3 linked regions of the Yarrowia lipolytica genome follow. The protein of the gene in region 2 purifies or fractionates together with the protein of the main gene of each other region. This does not show direct contact. Links are inferred from orthologs where the notes say so. Each region holds a gene or a part of one and is shown on either strand. Other genes may lie near its edges.

Region 1 (3,334 bases), on a different chromosome or scaffold from region 2:
ACTGGTGCACTCTATAGCGATAGGTACGAGGAATCGGATGTGCGTACGTACAAAGTGCGCTTCCATGAGGCTAAGGCTGTGGATGCATCGGACAAGTGACTTGTTTCGTTAGTGTAGTGTGTGTGGGAGGAGAGTGTGTGTGCGGGAGTGCAAGTGGAGGTGAAATGTTGTGAAAGGTTGTGAAATGATGTGTAAAGGGAGGATAGGACGGGCGGAAAAGACCGCAAGCTGTATCATTTTGAAGCTCTCGGGCCCGCGAAGCTGTTTGCGGCATTAATGTCTCCATTCGAGCTCTTTTGGCGGACTCCAGGTGTCGTTTCTCTCCAACTACAAGTACTCATACAGTAGCCGCAGCCGTAAAGACCTCAGCCACTGACTCAACACCGCGGTTGCTTCTGGAACGGTTTGAAAGCTAAAACATCTTTAGGTGTCAGATTTTGGGAGGGTTTCAGATGGTGCGGATTGTGCAAAGTGGCAGAAAAGAGGGCGCAGGAGGCGGATTTTTGCGCTTTTGAAGACACATATGGGTTTTCCGAGCCCTCGAAACCATCTCTGGCCGTTTTCCCCGTCAAAAACCCCCGCATTTCACCTCCATCGTCGCTTCTGCTGAAGTCACCAGGTACTCCCGCAAATAAGCTTCATTCGCCACTCAAACCGTCCTGCCTTGAGATAAAAGTGCAACGTTGTCCACCAACGAACCCTGACAAGCCGCTAATCACTGTACGACGAACTTGAACGACCCAGTCGACGATTTCAACGTACAAAGTTCCTCCGAGAGTGACACAGACCGACGAACGATCGCACACAGACCGACAGCGACCACTCAGACAGTCCAGACATCAGACATCAGACTGAACACAACCAACAAGCATTGAACACTGCCCTTCCACCAAGTTCGACACGCAGACACAGAACCGCTCCAACCGACACAGAACCGCTCCAACCGACACAGAACCACTCCAACCGACACAGAACCTTTCCAACCGACACAGAACCGTTCCAACCGACGCACTACTGTTTCTTGTGTCTACAGCATCCACTGCATAATAAAGTCATACCAGCAACAACAGCACTATTCCAGCTCGTGGTTTTTTTTTTTTTTTTTTTGATTACCACAGCCACCTCACCTAGATATGTACTCAGACTACAACATTCCTGGTGCCATGCCGGCGTCCATGGCCATGCCTCCGTTCAAACAGGAGTTTGACTACGCCCAATACGACCTTAACCAGCCCCTGCCCCCGCAGCAGCAACAACAGCCTATCGACCTGACCCCTGGAGGGCCCCTCCCCGTCTCGGATTACTCGACGTCGTCATACACCCTGGACAACGACTCACAGAAGCGAAAAATGTCCCCGGGAGAGTCCACCAGTGACGGAGGCGCCGACGACGAGTCTCCAGAAGGAGATGACGGTGAGGCCGACCCCAAGAAGCCCCGAAAGCCCGGCCGAAAGCCCGAAACCACCATCCCCGCGTCCAAACGCAAGGCTCAGAACCGGGCTGCCCAAAGGGCCTTCAGAGAGCGAAAGGAAAAGCATCTGCGCGACCTGGAAACCAAAATATCTCAGCTCGAGGGCGAGACGGCAGCCAAAAACTCGGAAAACGAGTTCCTGCGCTTCCAGGTCCAGCGGCTTCAGAACGAGCTCAAGCTTTACCGTGAGAAGCCTGCCGGCACTTCGGGAGCCTCTGGAGTCTCTGGAGCCGGAGCACCCGCTTCAAACGTGCATTCGGCTCCCATCCCGGAGATGTCGTCCAAACCGTTCACGTTCGAGTTCCCCTCGTACAACGTGCCCAAGCCGACCGATGTGGAGCGAGAGGCACGCGAGCAACTGCAACGAGAGCAGATCCGAGGCTACTTGCAGCGCAAGCCCTCATCTGTGGCCTCCGACACCACTTCTCCTGCATCTCAAACCTCGTGCAACCAGTCTCCCTGCACCAACCCCTCGGCATACACTTCGCCCCAGAGCCAGAGTGGAAGTGTGAGCCAGCAGAAGCCCCTGTTGGGTGCTACCATCGCTGCCATGAACGGCAAGCCCGACCCCCATGCTGTTGACTTTTGTGCTGAGCTCTCCAAGGCCTGTGTAAACAAGGCCGAGCTGCTGCAGCGATCCGCCACAGCCAGTGCATCTCCCACAACCTCCAACACGGTGGTACCGTCCGCAGCTGCACCGGGTAGCACTCAGCAGTCGGCAGGCCAGCCCTCTGTATCCACTCCTACCTCCTCCACAACTGCCCCTCCTCAATTGTCTGCATCTGTCGCTACAGCCGGCTCTGATCTTCCCGGATCGGACTTCCTGTTTGACATGCCCTTCGACATGGACTTTATGTCGTACCGAGACCCCGTTTCCGAGACGGCACATCTGGACGACTTTTCGCTGCCCGAGCTCACGACAGAAACATCCATGTTTGATCCTCTGGACCCCCATTCCAGCAGCGACGTTATTTCTGGCAAGCCTCTGTCTACCATGGGCGCTACACACAGTGGTGTCAACAACGGACAGGGAAGTGGTGCTCCCGAAGTCAAGAAGGAGGAGGATGAGGACCTGCTCATGTTCTCCAAGCCCAAGACGCTCATGAACTGCACCGCTGTGTGGGACCGTATCACGTCGCATCCCAAGTTTGGCGATATCGACATCGAGGGCCTGTGTTCGGAGCTGCGAAACAAGGCAAAGTGCAGTGAGAGTGGCGTCGTGTTGACGGAGTTGGACGTGGATGGTGTCCTGTCAACGTTCCAGTAAGCGAAAGCTGAAGAAGTTCGCTCCTGGTTCAAATTGGAAATAGGTATATGTTCTCCCGGAGAACATCGAGGTGTAAGTCGGCAGGGTCGCTTCTCGGCTACAGCCATGTTTATTTAAATACTAACGTGTATAGTTAATTGTAATAAGAGAATACGAATAGTGAGAGAGTTCAGATGTATACGGGTCAGTGGGTCAACATTTGCTTCAGACTCTGGATGAAGATTATATATTCCTTTATTAATGGGTTTTCTCGATACAGACAATGGGGTGGAATCTCATAACGCAAAGGATCCCATGACGCCAAAGCAAGTACCGGTCCAATTTGTACTGCCAGTAGAGAGCATCCCAAACAAGCAGTCGCAGTCGCACTCATCGATATGCATATGTGCTACTTAACTGTACGAGTACTGTACAGTACATACAGTACCTGTAGTGATTCACATTCAGTCATACAGTGCAGGAGTACTTCCGCTTGTCTCACAGGCTTTGTCCATGTGCCAATGAGTCAGACAGACACTTGTGCATGAGGCAGAGCACACACATGGCTTCGTTCAATCTGCTGATAGGTCGACATTCTGGGATCTGCTCAGGTTGTT
Region 2 (3,754 bases):
CGAGTTCCTTGAAACCAAAGAAATCGTCGCCAATCGCCTCGGAAAAGTCTCCATTAACAAATTGCTCGGAGTTGTCCTTGAACTGCTGGTCTGTCATCTCTCCCTGACCACCTCCAGGTCGCAGCAGATCGCCCAAGAAAGACCCCAGGTTGTTCTTGAGATCCACCAACTTATGGCCGTGACGCTCAACGTCATCTCGGATGTACGCAGACAGCCCCTCGATAGACCCCGCGCCCGATTCCTCCAGAGTCTCCTTCAGAATCGTCTCCTTGCTGGTGTTTGTGTTCTTGAAATGCTGAGTGTAGGCCACCATTGAACGTCCCAGGTTGGATAGAAAGTCGCCCGCAATCTCTGTGAGTGCGTTGATGGCAAACGACTCGGTCGACTCAAAACCAGAGTGCATAGCAATTCGAGAAGCCGCTCGTTTCAGAGAAGCCTCACACACCTCTTTATCGTACTCATCTCTATTAGGAAGACGAGACTCGATATCCACATCAAAATCGGTGATCTTAGGCGGATTGTAGGCCTTTATCTGCGACGAATGCAGATACTGCTGCTGCATTTGTCGGATGATAGAAATTTTGGAGCAAATCTTTCGAATCTTTTGCATCTCGTTCAAGTTGTGGTCAATCTTGCTGACTAGACCCTTCGCAGGGGCAACGTATCGAGAAGGAGTGTTCTTGAGGCACTCAATATCAACATGGCTCCAAGTGTCGTCAATTCCTTCGTCGGGGTTGTCGCATGAAATGGCCCAGGGGAGCTCAGGAAGGCCGGCCTGGGGGTCGTACTCAAGTAAAAACGGCCGTCGGGGAATGTTTAATGGAGCATCAGCCTTGGGCTGTGTACTATCATTCACCTCTGCTGCCTCCTCCAGCAAGTCCTCCTGGAATTCCTCAAACTCCATGTGGGGACCGACTCCTCGCACTGCTGCTTCGGCTGAAAGGAAGTCACGGAACCCCTTTGATTTGGAAATGACAGTAGCGTCTGCGTCTGCCTGTATCTTGTTGTCCTTAAACAGCCGCGACCGCTGCACGGAAATGAGCGTCCGTTTGCGGCCAGTGTACTCAGTCCAGAACTGCTCCTCGAGATCATTGTCCGAATCGTCATCGGAATCACCACCAACCCCATAATCATTATTCTCAGCAGAAGCAGTCAGTTCCTTGGCACCAGTATGGCCAGCGGGGACCAAGGCAGACACGTTCGCCGACTCGGGCTCTTCGGTGGCTTCCTTGGTCTCGGTCTTGATATCGTTGTTGTTGGTATCCGGCTTAATATCATCCGAAGTCTTGTTGTTACCATCAACATCGACGTCCATAGACACATCTTCAACCTTGATGTCAGAGTCGTCGGCGTCTTTAGCATCCTCATCCACCTCCTCAATCTTCCGCTTTCGGCCTCCCTTCTGGCCTTTTCCTCCTTTCTGGCCCTTCCCAACAGTTTTGCCAATAGACATTCCTGTTCGAGCCTTGGCACCTCCCTGCTCTTTTTCCTCCTCTTCCTTGGCCTCCTGAGCCTGCGCGGCCTCCTCTGCGTCTGCCTCGGCCCGTGTCTTGATGGTGATGTCGGGGATGAGAGGAATGAGCGTCAACGTCTTCTTCTGCATGGCAATAGCATGGGCTCGCAAAAAGTGCTTGGGATTAGTGTTGTAGGTCAAGCAGTTTTGCCAGATGAGCATTAGGTCGTTGACAAAGTCCTTCTTGCTGTCGTATTGGAGGTTCTTGAGCTTCTTCATGACCGTGTTGAGATCCATGGGCTCCTTGATGACACTGAAGTAGTTGGGCGCGTCCCGCTTGTTGACCTTGTTGAGAAATGCAGTTGAGTGCTCTGTGTAGCCTCGTAGCTCGAGAACCACCTTCTCTGCAGCTTCATAAAGATCCTCCTGGCCTACACGTTCTTCGTTGGCCCACTTGGATCGGTTTTTGCGCACGTCCAGAATCAGCTTACGCAGCTGGGTGTCTGTGAGAGACAACTTGTCTCGCTTGGACTCAATTGTGGCCAAGAGGTTCTGTGTTAGTATAAATAATAGGAAGGTCGTTAGTAATGAAGATGCTCACCTTTAGAGACAGATTTGCGGCTCCAAAATTCGCCTTGGTCGGCTCCTCCTGTGTGTTTGTTTCCCCTGTGTTCTCCGACTCCTGGCTTCCCTCCTCGGCCAGATACGAGTCCATGGCCTCGCTGTCATTTTCAAACAGATGGTACCGTTGCCATATCCGGGCCAACAGAGCCGAGTCTCGTTTTTGGATATCGTCGGAGGTCGCTGGTCGGTCTTCGACCGATACCGAGTCCACTAGTGCTACACTGCTACCGTCCGTATGCTGGTCCTTGTTGTTGTTTCCGTCTGTTTTGGGACCCTCATCTTCGTCATCAAAATCGTAGTCATCTTCCTCCTCTCGTACAGGAGCAGCCTTGATCTGGGCAGGAGTCTCTTCCTTTTTGCGTTCTGCCAGGATGTCTTCAATGTCCACCTCCAGGTCCCCTCCCTTGATGTTGGGGTATAGCAGCGGCACAGACTTGTCGAAAATCATGTGCCGCACCTTGAAGGCCAACGCGACACAGTCCAGCGACACGGTCTTCTGAAAGCCTTCATTCGACGGAGTCGGCGACGGCTGATTCATCTGCAGATGCTTCAGATGCAGATGCGTTGAGGAGGACGATGTGCTCACCACGGGTGTACTTGGAGTCGGGGTTTCGGGACGTGCTCCATCCAGATTGTTGTTGGCGGCGTTTTCCTGTTCCTGCCTGAATCCCAGCGGGGGATCCGGCAACGGATTGTCGACAAATATCGACAGTTTGCCCTCGACCAGGTTGTCCCACATGGCGTCGTTCTCCAGCACTTTTTGCACGACCTGGTGTTCCTGGATGGTGAGAAAGCCGCGCCAGAGATCCTTGGCTTCAATTTCGCGGGCGACGGCAAGCAGATCACGTGATCGCCCGGAGGCCCACACGTTCAGCGACGTCATGTTGTCGTTCAATGTCTAAAAGGCCGAGACGGTGCTGATCGGCTTTTTTCCCAATCGGAGAATGTGATGGTGAGATGTGGTGTTGGAGATGCAGTATAAGTGGAGTGCCAACCTTAAACTCGCGCACCGGAGGGGAGAGATGGATCTGGGTGATGGACGTGAGGGCAAGAAGTTAGTATGCTGTTGGGAGGGTATTTGGCGTCGGAGGGGATGACGACAGATTATGAGTTAGTTTGGGGGAAACGACACTAACTCGTAAGTTGTAAGAGCTACTGAGGAGAAGTGTAGCTGACATGAAACAATGATATGAACGATTGTGTGTGCTCGTCCGTCGTAATTGTACTGTACAGTTATTACTCATTGGTGTCTTTCACTTAATTACGAGTCAGGCACCGAAGACAATTCCGCAGACATAATGTGACCTTCCCAATACACGGACAAGGCAAGTACAATATGAGTGTCAGCTTGATATATATAAGGAGGTGTGACGACTCTTGGTGAGCAGCGTCTTTATTAATCCGGCAATGGCCCACAATCGACAATTCAACGTTTCTCAGCAATCAAACAATTCTTCGACTATTCGCAGATCCCCAGACTTGGACATTGCTATAAGCAGTGATCTTGATATTTTCACTGGTACAAGACACGTTCCTGGACCTACCGATAACTACAGAGACTACCAATCAATCCTCGACCCCATGACTTCATCCAGAGCTCCTGTTTCTGCCCGGAGAGCTAGCTTCAAACGGCATTCCCCCATGGATCATTCGGAACGACCCTCCAGCTACTCACAC
Region 3 (3,753 bases), on a different chromosome or scaffold from region 2:
GTTATACACATTTGCAGTGTGTCGTCGCATGAGAGATCACATCTCACGAGCTACAGTATCACATCTCACGAGCTACAGTATCACATCTCACGAGCTACAGTACGAACAACATCTGTAATGTCGATAGAGAATCTGGCGTTTTACAATACCAATACAGTACAGTACTAATTAGTGCATTACTCATACAATACATATCATAGCTACAATTACCCGTTCCGTTACTGGTACGAGTACGGTAGAACTACGTAAAAGTAGTTACATGCATCAGCTACGAACATAAAAACATTTCGAATAAACATGTGAATCAACTAGTGAATCAATAATACATTTTGCTATTTTAGTTTCGCTTTCGGAATCGTCGCTCAGCAGACTGCTGGGAAACGTGGACAACCTTAAGGGGAAGGGAAGAGAATCCGAGGGTCTTGAGGAGGTCGGCAGTATCGTTGTCAACCTGGAGCTGGTTGTCGGTGTGAGAAAGGTCAAGAGCAGAGATCTCGGGGACGTACTGGTCCTTTCGCTCTCGCTCCTCCTCCTGAAGCTTGAAGGAGATACCTCGGACGGGACCCTTCTGGATTCGCTTCATGAGGTGGGTGGTGTAGCCAGCGATCTTGTTTCGGAGTCGCTTGGAGGGGATAACAGCGATCTCATCAGCAAGTCGCTTGTTGGTCTCGAAGTCGAGGGTGAGCTTGGGGTAGTATCGCTCAATCATGACCTTGGAGGCCCGCTTGACAGTCTTAGTTCGAACTCGACCCTGGGGTTAGTAACGGCCTGGAAATCACCACGGAATCCTTCTCATCTTGTCGTCGCAGATAGATTCACTTGTCGTTTGTCAGTCGTGATTGTGCCCGTCACACTGCCACCTTTTCACACTCACCATTTTGTGCTATTTGTTACTGGCGAAAAGTACACTGAGAAGTAAAATCTCTACAGCTTTCGTCAATGTGCGCGGGCCAGCGTTGGGACGTCCCGATTAGGCAGTGCACGTGCTTGGGCCCAGAATCGGACTGTCAAAATTTAAAACGGAATTCAACCCTAAACCAACAACCAGCCATCAGAGCCCCTCCCACATGTAAGTCCCAAACCCTAATAACCAAATTGAGACTGGTCGTTCGTTTTCAAGACGCCTCCCACATAAGCAAGCCCTAATCTCAAAAGCCCCAGGAACATGTTGAACATCAAACTCCAAGCAATACGACCGGGTAACACCATACACTGGCCTACACTGAACCATGACATACCCTATGAGATACAATGCAAGTACAAATCGCGATGTAAGAGAAGAGGCGATTTGACGCTTTCGGTAAATAAATTATACAGTGCGCCACCAACATACAAGTTTGTACAAGTAGCTGGTGTGAGCAGTGAGAAATTAACACACACCTCCAGAATGTGGCATTAAGCTTCGAAAGTGGGTTGGAAATTGGTCACTACGCCAATAAATTAGCATCGCCGCTTGAAACGACGTGGCGCACAGGACAAACAACTGGACACGAAGAAGTCCAGCCATCAACCAAAGAACGACTACGTCTAAATCGCAATAATGACGGTTATCCATCGCAAAAACGCGCCGACAAATCCCAAGGCATCAGAGCCAGGCGTCAAGTGAGTACATCATACATCATGTCCCAAATGCACTCAGCATGGTTTATATATTTTTGCAGTTTGTCAGCAAGTTGTTGCTGTATAGTTGCTCCAAGGTTGTGTCAAGCGAAGGAATGTGCTAGAGTCCCCCGTTGACTCGATTTCGATACACTTTCATCACCCCATGCTAACTAAATCCAGATTTCACTGCGACGTGTGTTCGTGTGATTGCACCAACCTGGTAAGAATCCGATGTGCGGAGTGCCAGGACTACGATCTGTGTGTACAATGCTTCTCTCAGGGTGCCTCATCAGGTGTCCACAAGCCCTACCACAACTACATGATTATTGAGCAGCATGCTTATCCTATTTTCACTGAGGACTGGGGTGCTGATGAGGAGTTGCTATTAATCGAGGGTGCCGAGATGCAGGGTCTTGGAAACTGGCAGGACATCGCTGACCATATCGGTGGTAGATCAAAGGAAGAGGTTGGGGAGCATTACAAGGAAGTCTATCTGGACTCGCCAGACTACCCGTTGCCCCCCATGAAGCGGAAATTCGAGATCACTGCAGCTGAGTTCGCAGCAAACAAAAAGGAGCGTCTGGATAAGCGACGAAATATGCCCACCGCTCTCCCTGTGCCCAAGCAAAAGCCCACGGCTTCTGTTCCTGCATGCCATGAGGTGCAAGGGTTTATGCCGGGACGTCTGGAGTTCGAGACCGAGCATGAAAACGAGGCCGAGATGACGGTCAAGGACATGGTTTTTGATCAGGACGACACCGAGGCTGATGTGGAGCTCAAGATCACTGTTCTTGATATCTACAACTCTCGTCTCACATCACGAACCGAGCGAAAGCGAGCCATCATCAACCATGGGCTGCTTCAGTACAGGAAGAACGCCTCTGTCGATAAGAAACGGACCAAGGAGGAGCGCGAGCTTGTAAACAAGTTAAAGCCGTTTGCAAGAATCATGACACTACAGGATTTCACCGATTTTGTTGATGGAATGATTATTGAGCTCCAGTGTCGACGACGACTGGCTGAACTTCAGGAGTATCGACGTAACGGTATCACCACCTTCGAAGCTGCGTCCAAATACGAACGAGATAAAACTGTACGTGCAAACGCATTGGCCAGGCTGCAGGCTCCCATTAACTCCATCAACTCGACTGGATCCAGATACACTGCAAACTCGATGAATGCTGCAAACAATGCTCTTGTTCAAAAAACCAACAAACAGGCCGCTGCCGCAAACCAGGCTGCCGCCGAAGCTGTGAAGATGGACCCTGACTCGGGAGCAGACACCTTACGGCTTTTCAGAAAACCTGTGGCCAATCCCCTCGACATCTCGCATGCCCCAGACGTGGAGCTGCTTTCTCCAGAAGAGCAGGTTCTTTGTTCCCAGCTGCGTATCTTGCCCAAGCCGTATCTGGCCATCAAGGAAACGCTGTTCCGAGAGCTGCTGCGAACCGGAGGTGTGCTCAAGAAGCGTACAGCCCGTGAACTGGTCAAGATTGATGTCAACAAAACCGCTCGAATCTATGAGTTTTTCCAGTCTCAGCGCTGGCTCTCTTAGGGCCTTGTTGCAACCCATATATAATGCTGAGTGTCACCAATCTCTTGGAATCCTGTATATTAGTTAATTTATTCAAATACAAACATTAGAAACAAAACCGCGAACACTAGAAGGGACAAACATCGAGTATCGTAGCTATTATACAAAGTTTATTGCAGTCTACTTCAGCTATACTCCCTTGCCGGGTATGTACTTGTACTTACCAAAGAGACCTGATCATTCCGCAGTTACCTCGTAGTTGTAACTACTAGGGTGCTGAACGACCACCTCATGCAGGACATCTAGCAGCTTAGTAACTAGATGGCTGGGCACATCTTCTCTCAGGGTGATCTGTGGTGTTTATGCAGTTGCCACCCATTATCCAGTCTTTGATCCACATGCCCGTTGCTCTATGCTTGCAATTTGCTTTCTCCATCTTTTTGCTGGTATGGTGCAGACCCAGGAAACTGCGACACCACCACACCATTCTTGTCTACACACTCGAAGTTGTATCTTGAGAGGTAATGTGGCAACGCACAAAGCTGGGGTCCATATCGCGCGGGGTTGTCATAGAGCTCGAAAAGAGGGACAGCAAGGAATGTCATATTCGATGGTAC

What was found. The genes of interacting proteins can lie anywhere in the genome.
Region 1: the proteins of YALI1_E38056g (region 2) and YALI1_F04763g purify together in Saccharomyces cerevisiae (affinity purification with mass spectrometry; 3 studies listed by BioGRID). This does not show direct contact. The link is inferred for Yarrowia lipolytica from reciprocal best matches to the Saccharomyces cerevisiae genes SPT7 and YAP1.
Region 3: the proteins of YALI1_E38056g (region 2) and YALI1_F19244g purify together in Saccharomyces cerevisiae (affinity purification with mass spectrometry; 28 studies listed by BioGRID, with this or other methods). This does not show direct contact. The link is inferred for Yarrowia lipolytica from reciprocal best matches to the Saccharomyces cerevisiae genes SPT7 and ADA2.

What each region holds. Positions count from the first base shown.
Region 1 is NC_090775.1:475,207-478,540, forward strand, and holds YALI1_F04763g (uncharacterized protein), read left to right. Parts: upstream 1-1,133; coding exon 1,134-2,738; downstream 2,739-3,334. Other genes in the region: YALI1_F04818g (uncharacterized protein), read right to left, coding at 3,334-3,334. UniProt on the Saccharomyces cerevisiae protein: Transcription activator involved in oxidative stress response and redox homeostasis.
Region 2 is NC_090774.1:3,804,781-3,808,534, reverse strand, and holds the start of YALI1_E38056g (uncharacterized protein), read right to left. Parts: upstream 2,961-3,754; coding exon 2,055-2,960; intron 2,006-2,054; coding exon 1-2,005. Other genes in the region: YALI1_E38050g (uncharacterized protein), read left to right, coding at 3,485-3,754. UniProt on the Saccharomyces cerevisiae protein: Component of the transcription coactivator SAGA complex. SAGA acts as a general cofactor required for essentially all RNA polymerase II transcription. At the promoters, SAGA is required for transcription pre-initiation complex (PIC) recruitment.
Region 3 is NC_090775.1:1,922,505-1,926,257, reverse strand, and holds YALI1_F19244g (uncharacterized protein), read left to right. Parts: upstream 1-1,540; coding exon 1,541-1,602; intron 1,603-1,782; coding exon 1,783-3,157; downstream 3,158-3,753. Other genes in the region: YALI1_F19249g (uncharacterized protein), read right to left, coding at 338-751, 1,239-1,331; YALI1_F19218g (uncharacterized protein), read right to left, coding at 3,547-3,753. UniProt on the Saccharomyces cerevisiae protein: Component of the transcription coactivator SAGA complex. SAGA acts as a general cofactor required for essentially all RNA polymerase II transcription. At the promoters, SAGA is required for transcription pre-initiation complex (PIC) recruitment.